Linked DNA regions of Saccharomyces cerevisiae S288C. The protein of the gene in region 1 binds, or shares a complex with, the protein of each later gene. Each region holds a gene or a part of one and is shown in the gene's direction. Other genes may lie near its edges.

The links.
Region 2: SPP381 (region 1) and SMD1 share a complex: the UniProt entries of both Saccharomyces cerevisiae proteins name them as parts of the U4/U6-U5 tri-snRNP complex.
Region 3: SPP381 (region 1) and SNU23 share a complex: the UniProt entries of both Saccharomyces cerevisiae proteins name them as parts of the U4/U6-U5 tri-snRNP complex.

Annotation. Positions count from the first base shown.
Region 1 is NC_001134.8:544,019-548,301, forward strand, and holds SPP381 (U4/U6-U5 snRNP complex subunit SPP381), read left to right. Parts: upstream 1-2,357; coding exon 2,358-3,233; downstream 3,234-4,283. Other genes in the region: TBS1 (Tbs1p), read right to left, coding at 1-475; APD1 (Apd1p), read left to right, coding at 1,010-1,960; RIB7 (2,5-diamino-6-(ribosylamino)-4(3H)-pyrimidinone 5'-phosphate reductase), read left to right, coding at 3,442-4,176. UniProt on the Saccharomyces cerevisiae protein: Component of the spliceosome and rRNA processing machinery. In association with the spliceosomal U4/U6.U5 tri-snRNP particle, required for splicing of pre-mRNA.
Region 2 is NC_001139.9:633,482-636,652, forward strand, and holds SMD1 (mRNA splicing protein SMD1), read left to right. Parts: upstream 1-2,230; coding exon 2,231-2,671; downstream 2,672-3,171. Other genes in the region: ENV11 (Env11p), read right to left, coding at 1-582; UPF3 (Upf3p), read left to right, coding at 823-1,986; U4/U6-U5 snRNP complex subunit PRP38, read right to left, coding at 2,666-3,171. UniProt on the Saccharomyces cerevisiae protein: lays a role in pre-mRNA splicing as a core component of the spliceosomal U1, U2, U4 and U5 small nuclear ribonucleoproteins (snRNPs), the building blocks of the spliceosome. Also binds telomerase RNA and is required for its accumulation.
Region 3 is NC_001136.10:284,081-287,221, reverse strand, and holds SNU23 (U4/U6-U5 snRNP complex subunit SNU23), read left to right. Parts: upstream 1-2,056; coding exon 2,057-2,641; downstream 2,642-3,141. Other genes in the region: dolichyl-phosphate-mannose-protein mannosyltransferase PMT1, read right to left, coding at 1-163; proteasome regulatory particle lid subunit RPN6, read left to right, coding at 527-1,831; BUG1 (Bug1p), read right to left, coding at 2,778-3,141. UniProt on the Saccharomyces cerevisiae protein: Participates in pre-mRNA splicing. Part of the U4/U5/U6 tri-snRNP complex, one of the building blocks of the spliceosome.

The DNA of each region.
Region 1 (4,283 bases):
CATTTCCCTTGTTATTCAAAGCTTCTTCTCGCCTTCTTTTCAGTTCTTCATGGAAATGAAACGTGCAATCTTTATTATACTTGATACAGTTTCTACATTTACCAGAAATCGGCTCGATTTCCGTACATCTAATCTTCCTCTTCCGACAATAATCACATGCTTTAGTCACTCTACTTTTGAAAGACTCCATGTTATATGCCAGAAAATTCTTATCAGCAGGCATCATATGAGCTAATGGGTGATGTCTTAAACGGTGATCCGGAAAAGGGCTCAACTGAGGCGACATTATTGTACCAGTTGGAACAGGCGGAAAATTTGATGGTACTGGAGGCATCGCAGGGACAGCGGGGCCCATTAAAACTCTTGTATTTTCGACTCTTTGATTATGTTTCTGGTTAGCTGCCCACTCAGAACTTTGCTTTTGTGTCTTATCCATGCTTCCATGACTACTTGTAATACCAGAATCCATATTCATTCACACAACTCCTGCTGGGCTTGTAATCATTGTTAACTTAAAAAAGAGTAGTCGTAATATAAAGTTTACTCTATTTTAAGTAGACTTTGGGCAGTGGCTGAAAATAGGCATGATAAATCAACATTTTCTGGCGGAGTAGGGTCAAAATGAAAATGTGGACCCTTTAGGGTATTATAAATATTTTTTAAAGGGCAATTTGAACTTTTTAGGTGCAAAGAAAATTCTGAAGGTATAAAAAAGAGGGTTCACCGGTGCTGCGGAAATAAAAGCGGAAATAAAGATGGAAATAAGGGCTAAAAGTTTCTTAAAACAAGTGCAAGGAGAGGGAGAGTTCCACTCTTGGCGCTGATGATATCTTCTATTTATATTGTTGAGATCATATGATGATAACGCAAAGTTGAAATTCTAACCGAATAGTAGTATAACATACTGGTTTTCTTTCTGTTCGAGGTATAAGAAAAGAAAGTACTTGGCTATATTCGGAGGAGGCAAGAAGGCGGCCAAGAGAGAGATATCTTCTTTGTCCTTTGAATTATGGCTTTTTTGAATATTTTCAAGCAAAAACGTGGTGATGAAGCTTCACAACTGAGCGCAAAGGGACGGGAGGAAATTTCTCAATCGATTAAGATATGCAAAAGTGACGATGCTGCTAACGAACATAGCTGCTCTGGTGATTGCAAAACAGAAATTGAAGAAGGAGAGCAGGCCTTTGCGAAACTAAAGATCGAACATGAAACTCCTTTGTTGAACTCTTCTAAAACGCCAAAAATTCACTTCGTTGTCCCCACCTCTCAAATCGATTGGCAGCATGATGCCTGCCTCGAGGACCCAAAGTCAGTACAGTATAAAATTTCCCAGTGGTGTGATAAGAATTCAGCTAAATTTTCCAACGTGGGCACAGGCAAGACACTAAACTGTGCAGTTTCATCTTTACCTAAAGATATCATGGATATTGATGTTATGCGGGGAACCAAGAATAATGTACTTATTTTGCCTTACTTCATTTGGCTGAACGACCTTAGATCAGATGACGTCGAAGCAACGCTGGATGGTTTAGTTCCTGACTTATTAGACGAGAATATTTCAAGAGAGAAATTGCTAGAAACACGACCAAATGTTGCCGTTGCACGTGAACGTGCATTTGTATTTATATGTTCACATACTACGAGGGATAAACGATGCGGGATTACGGCACCCTATTTAAAGAAAGTTTTTGACAGTAAATTACAGGAACATGGGCTGTATAGGGACAATTCGGATTACAGGGCAGAGGGTGTCAAAATTGCATTTGTTAATCATGTTGGTGGTCACAAATTTGCTGCAAATGTTCAAATTTATTTACGAAATCCAAATACCTTAATTTGGTTGGGAAGAGTAACTCCAACCATAGTTCCTTCTATTGTCGAACATCTGATTGTTCCTGAAGAACCAACGTTGCCGTTTCCCGAAAAAGTTCGCTGTATTAAGAAATATCAAAGCTGGTAAAGGTTGGCCAGCAAAATACAATCTTTTGACGCCATAAAATTTGCCATCAGAGTAGCTTTTAAATGTACATAGTTCTAAAGCACGCATATATATTTATAACGCTAAGATGATAATGAAAAGTTTTATTTGCAAAAGGGATCCTGTATTTCAACTTTCCATACATGAAAGATTCTTTGGCCATTTTCTTAATCCATTTCATATTTTCATCTGATTTTTTTTCTGTTTTCCACTTGCTGCTCATTATTTCATTTTATAATTTTTGCAAACATGCAATATTTCGCCATATATTGAGAAAAGCAATTCTTCGTTGTTCCCAGTAAAGAAAGAACAAATGCAGATTTCTACCGCCACCGCTAGATTAAGAATTTTTTTTGGTTACTGATTTGAATCACATACGATGAGTTTTAGACATTTCAAGAGGAGACTTGACACAAGCTCAGCAGATGAAAGCTCTTCGGCGGATGAAGAGCATCCAGACCAAAACGTATCTCTAACAGAAAAATCAGCCTCATTAAGCCATAGTGATTTGGGCGGCGAAATTTTAAATGGTACAGGAAAGAACCGCACCCCCAATGATGGCCAAGAATCAAATGAAAGTGATGGGAGTCCCGAAAGTGATGAGAGTCCCGAAAGTGAAGAAAGTAGCGACAACAGTGATTCGAGCGATAGTGACGATATGAGACCTTTACCGAGGCCATTATTTATGAAGAAAAAGGCCAATAATTTGCAGAAAGCTACCAAGATAGATCAACCCTGGAATGCCCAAGATGACGCACGAGTTCTGCAAACAAAGAAGGAAAATATGATAAAAAACATCGACAAAGCTAATCAAGTGGCAAAGAACTACGAAACGATGAAGCTGAGACTTAACACCAATTACAGCACCAACGAAGAATTGATCAAGCAGTGCTTGCTCTTAGATGATAACGATGAAGTCGATTCAGAAAAGGAGAGACAGAAATGGTTTGAAAGGCAGAACGAACGAAAGCAAAAGCATAGAAGAATACAACTTGCGAAACAAAGAGAATCAGAAGAATATGAGGCAAAACGATTTGAAGCGATGCAAAAAGGCAAAGATGGGAATACCAAATACGACGTTATCTTGGACAAGGAGAAAGAGAAACTTGATCACAAAAAACAAAGATCGGCTGAAAAAGTAGAAAAATCTCACAATAACAACCGTTACAAGATTACAAGAACTAAAAATGTTGAATTTGGTGACCTAGGCAAGAATAGTAGAGATTACGAAGAAACTGAATATTCGGTTATATAACACCGCATCACACACACAAACCCACATGCCTTTCAGTTAGTTGATGTCGGGAAAATCCCGAAACAGAAAAAAGAGGCAAAGATGAAGATATCAAATTTTTTCGCAGAACCATTACATCTGGCTTTGGATACGATGAAACAATCTAGCAGAAATACAGTACCAACCTATTGGTAGCTTCTTTGTATTACTATCAACATTTTTAGAAGATATGTCTTTGACACCACTGTGTGAAGATTTACCACAATTTCTGCAAAACTATCTACCGAATGCTGGTCAAACGGAAAATACCATTGTGCCCTTTGTCACACTAACTTATGCTCAATCGCTCGACGCGAGAGTATCTAGGGGCCCTGGAGTGAGGACTACAATTTCACATCCCGAGACCAAAACAATGACGCATTATTTGAGACATCATCACGATGGAATACTCGTAGGAAGTGGAACAGTGCTAGCTGATAATCCTGGATTGAATTGTAAATGGGGTCCCGATCCGGCTGCAAATTCCCCAAGGCCAATAATAATAGATACAAAGCAAAAGTGGCGATTTGATGGTTCAAAAATGCAAGAACTTTTTATTAAACGACAGGGTAAGCCGCCAATCGTTGTTGTCACAAGTGAGCCCATTATAAAAGAACAACATGTAGACTACGCAATTTGTCCAATAAATGATACTACGAAATTGGTCGATTGGAAGAAATTGTTTGAGATATTAAAAGAAGAATTCAATATAAGGTCAGTAATGGTTGAAGGAGGTGCCAATGTAATAAATCAGTTGTTGCTGAGGAGCGATATTGTCAACAGTCTTATAATAACTATTGGATCAACATTTCTGGGTAGCTCAGGCACCGAAGTTAGCCCACCCCAAACAGTAAATTTAAAGGATATGTCATGGTGGAAGGGCATTACCGATGTGGTGCTTTGTGCGAGACTGGCCGATGACTAATAGTGTTAGAACTCCACCTTCTGTGTAATTTCTTTCTGAAATTAGTGAAAAAAACGCGCCTTTCAAATTTTCATACTAGTGATTGGTTTATTGCAGATTATTTATTT
Region 2 (3,171 bases), on another chromosome or scaffold:
GGAAATAGAAAGGTAATTACTGCTCTGTAATTTTCCTATGTCAAAGCATTTGAAACTTTGGTCGGAATTGAAGGTTAACGAATCATAGCCGTGTCTACGTGTAATTTCTGTGCTGGAAGTATTGTTTTTGAGATTGGAGTCTCCTACTGTGAAATTCATGGAATAGAAGTTTTTATTGGCACTTATATTATGCTTTGTTTTCAAGTGAGATCTAAAGGTTTTTGTCAAACTTGCATCGCTTCTTGTTAGTATCTCTCCACAATGTTTACATTTAACTTTCGTTAATTTCTTTTCAATTGCTAGAAAATGGGACCAGAACTTTGCTATATTCTTCTTGAGCATTTGAACCGGAATCCATATATTTAACCCATCATTTATGATTTCGTCTTCCGGATGAATTCTACTTGATAGGATTTTATTGCCGTCTTTTTCTATAAGTTCTATATCCTCAGTATCGTCTTCTTCCTCGTCTTCCTCCTCATGACTAGTAGAGTGAGAAGATGAATGATCAGAATTATTGATGATTTCGTTATCTTCTAAAGTCACCAAATCCCCATGTAAATCATCCAATGCAGTGTTCATATTAATGATTGAGTAGATTGGTACATATGCTATTTCGGAAGACTTTTGTTATTCTATGGTTTATCATCCCTTTATTTATTTTGTGTATTGTTTGCTGATCAAAAGTTGAAAATTTTTCGCCTAAAAAGTAAGATACAAAAGAAAATATTGTCGATGATTATTGCATGAATATATCAGCAAAGAGGAAAGGAAAACCTACTGAGGGACTTACATTTCTGCTGAAATATATAGTAATCTATCATGAGCAATGTGGCTGGGGAATTGAAGAATAGTGAGGGGAAAAAGAAAGGCAGGGGAAATAGGTATCATAACAAGAACAGAGGAAAAAGTAAGAATGAGACGGTAGATCCTAAAAAGAATGAGAATAAGGTTAATAATGCTACTAATGCTACCCACAACAATAGCAAAGGCAGAAGGAATAACAAGAAAAGGAACAGAGAGTATTATAACTATAAAAGAAAGGCTAGATTGGGTAAATCAACCGAGAATGAAGGATTTAAGCTTGTTATTAGATTGCTACCTCCAAATTTGACTGCAGATGAATTTTTTGCCATCTTACGAGATAATAATAACGATGATGGTGATAAGCAAGATATCCAGGGTAAACTCAAGTACAGTGACTGGTGTTTTTTTGAAGGTCATTATTCTAGTAAAGTATTCAAAAACTCGACATATTCTCGGTGCAATTTCTTGTTCGACAACTTATCAGACTTGGAAAAATGCGCAAATTTCATTAAAACTTGTAAATTCATTGATAATAAGGATAATATTACAATTCCAGATATGAAACTGTCGCCCTACGTAAAGAAATTCACTCAAACATCAAAAAAGGATGCCGCGCTAGTAGGAACAATTGAAGAAGACGAAATTTTTAAAACATTTATGAATTCAATGAAACAGCTGAATGAAAATGACGAGTACTCATTCCAAGATTTTAGCGTATTGAAATCTTTAGAAAAAGAATTCTCAAAAAGCATAGAGTTAGAAAATAAAATAGCAGAAAGAACAGAAAGGGTGTTAACAGAGCTGGTTGGAACTGGTGATAAGGTCAAGAATAAGAACAAAAAGAAGAAAAATAAAAACGCCAAAAAGAAATTCAAAGAAGAGGAAGCATCCGCTAAGATACCAAAGAAAAAACGGAACAGAGGCAAGAAGAAGCGTGAAAATCGTGAAAAAAGCACCATTTCTAAGACCAAGAACAGTAATGTGGTTATTATTGAGGAAGCGGGTAAAGAGGTTTTGAAACAAAGGAAGAAGAAAATGCTTTTGCAAGAGAAGTTAAAAATATCAAACTCCTCTCAGCCTCAGTCATCATCCGCTCAAACCCAGCCGTCGTTCCAACCTAAAGAAAACCTTTTCGTACCACGGGTAAAAATTTTGCATCGTGATGATACCAAGAAGTAGTAAAAGCTCATGGCTTCTTATATATTATATATGGAATACATTTATAATAAAATAATAAGAATTATATATTTTATGATTATATTATTACATAAAGTATTCCCCATTATAAATTCTGAGTTTCGTATTTAATGATTTTTCAATGAATATTTAAAATAATAAAATATATGAAATGTTCATATACAATGAAATTGTCATGAAGAAAGATGACTCCAAGTATCGTTTATAAATCGTCGAGAAAAAGATTATGAAGTTGGTTAACTTTTTAAAAAAGCTGCGCAATGAGCAGGTTACCATAGAACTAAAAAACGGTACCACCGTTTGGGGTACACTGCAGTCGGTATCACCACAAATGAATGCTATCTTAACTGACGTGAAGTTGACCCTACCACAACCCCGACTAAATAAATTGAACAGTAATGGTATTGCGATGGCTAGTCTGTACTTGACTGGAGGACAGCAACCTACTGCAAGTGACAACATAGCAAGTTTGCAATACATAAACATTAGAGGCAATACCATAAGACAGATAATCTTACCTGATTCCTTGAACCTGGATTCACTTTTGGTTGACCAAAAGCAACTTAATTCCCTAAGAAGATCGGGTCAAATTGCAAATGACCCCAGCAAAAAGAGAAGGCGCGATTTTGGTGCACCAGCGAATAAAAGGCCAAGAAGAGGTCTATGATTCGCTGCTGGTGTCGTTGTCATCTTCACTGTCACCATTACTTTCGCTTTCGCTAGAACTACTCTCTTCATCAGAGTTGTATATTTTATTCCATTGACATTTCCCTAATGGAATACCCCAGATATGGTCCTGTGTGGCCAACCAATCGACTAATTCATCAATGTGTATTATACAAAGTTCTTCGTTATAGGAGTGAGCAAAGCAGTCTACTTGTAGTGGGAAACTTTTTAGTTTGAAATAATGCTGTGAATATTTGTATAATTGTACTTTAAATAACTTTATCAAATCATTTTCATCATCATCGTTTTTGTTATTGCCATTCAAATAATAATACTGTAACCGCGCATAAACCAGAAGCAAAGCAATAATATATTTCGAGTCAAAACCGTTCTCATTTTTTACATTCAATAAGAAGTTCAACTGCTGGAAATTCGGTCTGATTTCGATTAACTTCATTAAGATGCATTTAAACTCAATGCCACCGAGAACCATCATGTGTA
Region 3 (3,141 bases), on another chromosome or scaffold:
AGGCCACTAACAGCTTCTCTTTAAGAGTGACCATGGTTCGTAACGAGGCCAATTCGGCACTCGGATCGGTAACAATAAAGGGTCTTACGGGGCCCTGCTTGATATCCAGTTCGGGCACGGGATCATCCTGCTCTACACGTTTGTACGTTTTCTCTTCCGACATGACCGTGCTTGTAGCTGTTAGCTGTTTCTTGATAGGCTCTTCTGATACTACCTCGCTTTAACAATGCACCTGTTTGTCTTGTTTTGCTGCTCGAAAATAATCAAGATCTGCTTAGAAACGCCAAACTCTTCTTCGACACGTGTCGAGAAAAAAAACGCAGCGAAAAAAAAAAAAAAGGTATATCATCACAATATACGATATAAATGGGCAGGGCAACCCCGAATGATGTATATTCTCTTCTGGTTCCAAGGGTGGCAAATGTTGGTAGAAAGCGTAATTGAAGCAAAGATCCGTTAAATAAGGCCAACTAACAGAAGCGCTGAAAGAGGACAATTGGTGATTAATCTATAAACGAGGAACTTCATGTCTCTGCCAGGTTCGAAATTAGAAGAGGCCAGGAGACTGGTTAATGAAAAACAGTATAATGAGGCAGAACAAGTCTATTTGAGCCTGCTGGATAAAGACAGCTCACAGAGCAGCGCCGCTGCCGGTGCCAGTGTGGATGACAAGCGTAGAAATGAACAGGAGACAAGCATATTGGAATTAGGACAGTTATACGTGACTATGGGTGCAAAGGACAAATTGCGCGAGTTTATTCCTCATTCTACGGAGTATATGATGCAATTTGCCAAATCCAAAACGGTAAAGGTATTGAAAACGTTGATTGAAAAATTCGAGCAAGTGCCGGACTCCTTGGACGATCAGATCTTTGTGTGCGAGAAAAGCATCGAATTTGCCAAGAGAGAAAAAAGGGTGTTTTTGAAGCATTCACTCTCGATCAAATTGGCCACCTTACATTATCAAAAGAAACAGTACAAGGACTCATTAGCATTGATTAACGATCTTTTGAGGGAGTTCAAAAAGCTGGACGACAAGCCCTCTTTGGTTGATGTACATCTATTGGAAAGTAAAGTTTACCATAAACTGAGGAATCTAGCCAAGTCCAAGGCCTCGTTGACTGCAGCAAGGACGGCCGCTAACTCCATATACTGTCCTACACAAACAGTTGCGGAGCTGGACTTGATGAGTGGTATCCTGCACTGTGAAGATAAAGACTACAAAACTGCATTTTCGTATTTCTTCGAAAGTTTTGAAAGCTACCACAATTTGACTACGCATAATTCCTACGAAAAGGCATGTCAAGTGTTGAAATACATGCTATTGTCTAAGATCATGCTGAACCTTATTGATGACGTAAAAAACATCCTAAACGCAAAATACACAAAGGAAACGTACCAGTCCCGAGGCATTGATGCCATGAAAGCTGTCGCTGAGGCTTATAACAACAGATCGCTTTTAGACTTCAACACGGCGCTAAAGCAATACGAGAAGGAACTAATGGGCGATGAACTAACAAGATCCCATTTCAATGCATTATACGACACGTTATTAGAGTCCAATTTGTGTAAGATTATTGAGCCATTTGAATGTGTGGAAATATCCCACATTTCCAAAATAATCGGTCTGGATACTCAACAAGTTGAAGGAAAGCTCTCCCAAATGATACTAGATAAGATATTCTACGGTGTTCTGGATCAAGGTAATGGTTGGCTTTACGTTTACGAAACTCCGAATCAGGATGCCACGTACGACTCTGCATTGGAATTAGTCGGGCAACTAAATAAAGTCGTCGATCAACTATTTGAAAAGGCAAGTGTCTTGTATTAGGTTTACATGTATATATATGTATGTATACTCACAAGTACCAGAGTAAGAATTCCTAAATAAACTTATAAAATGCAGAAAATACATAAGTATGATTTTTCTTTTTTTTCTCCTAAGAAAGGAAGAAGTTTAATCGAATGCGCCGCTAAATAGAAAACAGTTGATGCGAAAGTTCATCAAAACCAGAAGTTCCTACAAGCCTTAGCTGACAAAAATTCGAGAAAGCTAATGTCGAATTTTGGCAGAAGAACTTGGGATAGAGAGGAGTATGCTGAGCAGGCTAGAAGCGGCTATGACGATCGATCCTTAAAGGCTACGCTAACACCGATTGAATTACAAGCTTTAAAATCCAAATATACAAATTACGATCATTTAATCAAGGGCTCGCTAAAAGACCTAAATAAAAGGAAACTAACAGCAAATACAGAGAGCTTATCGTCTTTCAAGAGGGGAAAGAAGTTCGGATTTTACTGCGATATTTGTAACCTAACCTTCAAAGACACTTTACAATACATTGATCATCTCAACCACAAGGTCCATGCAATAAAATTTGAAAATTTGTTTGATGAACCGTTAATTATAGATATAAGAGATAATGATGACGTACCGCAAGAGGAGTTTGAGTTGTGCTATCATAACTTGATAAAGGATTTTGTAGAGGTGCGTTCTATGGAGACTCAGTCCAAGAGGAAAAGGCTTTTGGACACAGATGTGGAGAAAGCAAAGAAAGTGGCTACTAAGCCTTCTATTGAGAGTGAATCAAAAGTCAGTCAAATGATGGGATTTTCCAATTTTGCCACCTCTAAAAAATGAGAAACCAAGTAAAGATAAATGAGCATAATACAAGCATAGAGCACATATAAAAAGTCGGGACTCAGATCAGATCATTAGATATATCTTTTATGTATATAAACCCTTAATTAAAATATATACGCGAAAATATTCATTCTCAAAATTCCATTATTGGGCCAGAACCAATACTTCTCCAAGTGGTCATGTCTACGTTCCACTGGCGCCATTTGTTCAGCATAACGCGATCCACTTCCATATTATTCCCGTGGGCCACCTGCGTACCAGAATTGGTTACAGATTGTGAGGGAGTTAGATTATTGCTTGAAGTGTTGAAATCCGCAAATTGAATAGGAGTTGCTGTGGTATTTCTTGCTGCCTTAGCTTCTGCTAATTTTAATTTTTCTACTGCGGCAATTAATTCATCCCTTGCGGTTTGCAAATCGTTTTGTAAACCATTAATGATGTCTTCTTTTTCCTGCAATTGATCCTGTAGGTCATCGACAGTAGTTTCATTTTCCATA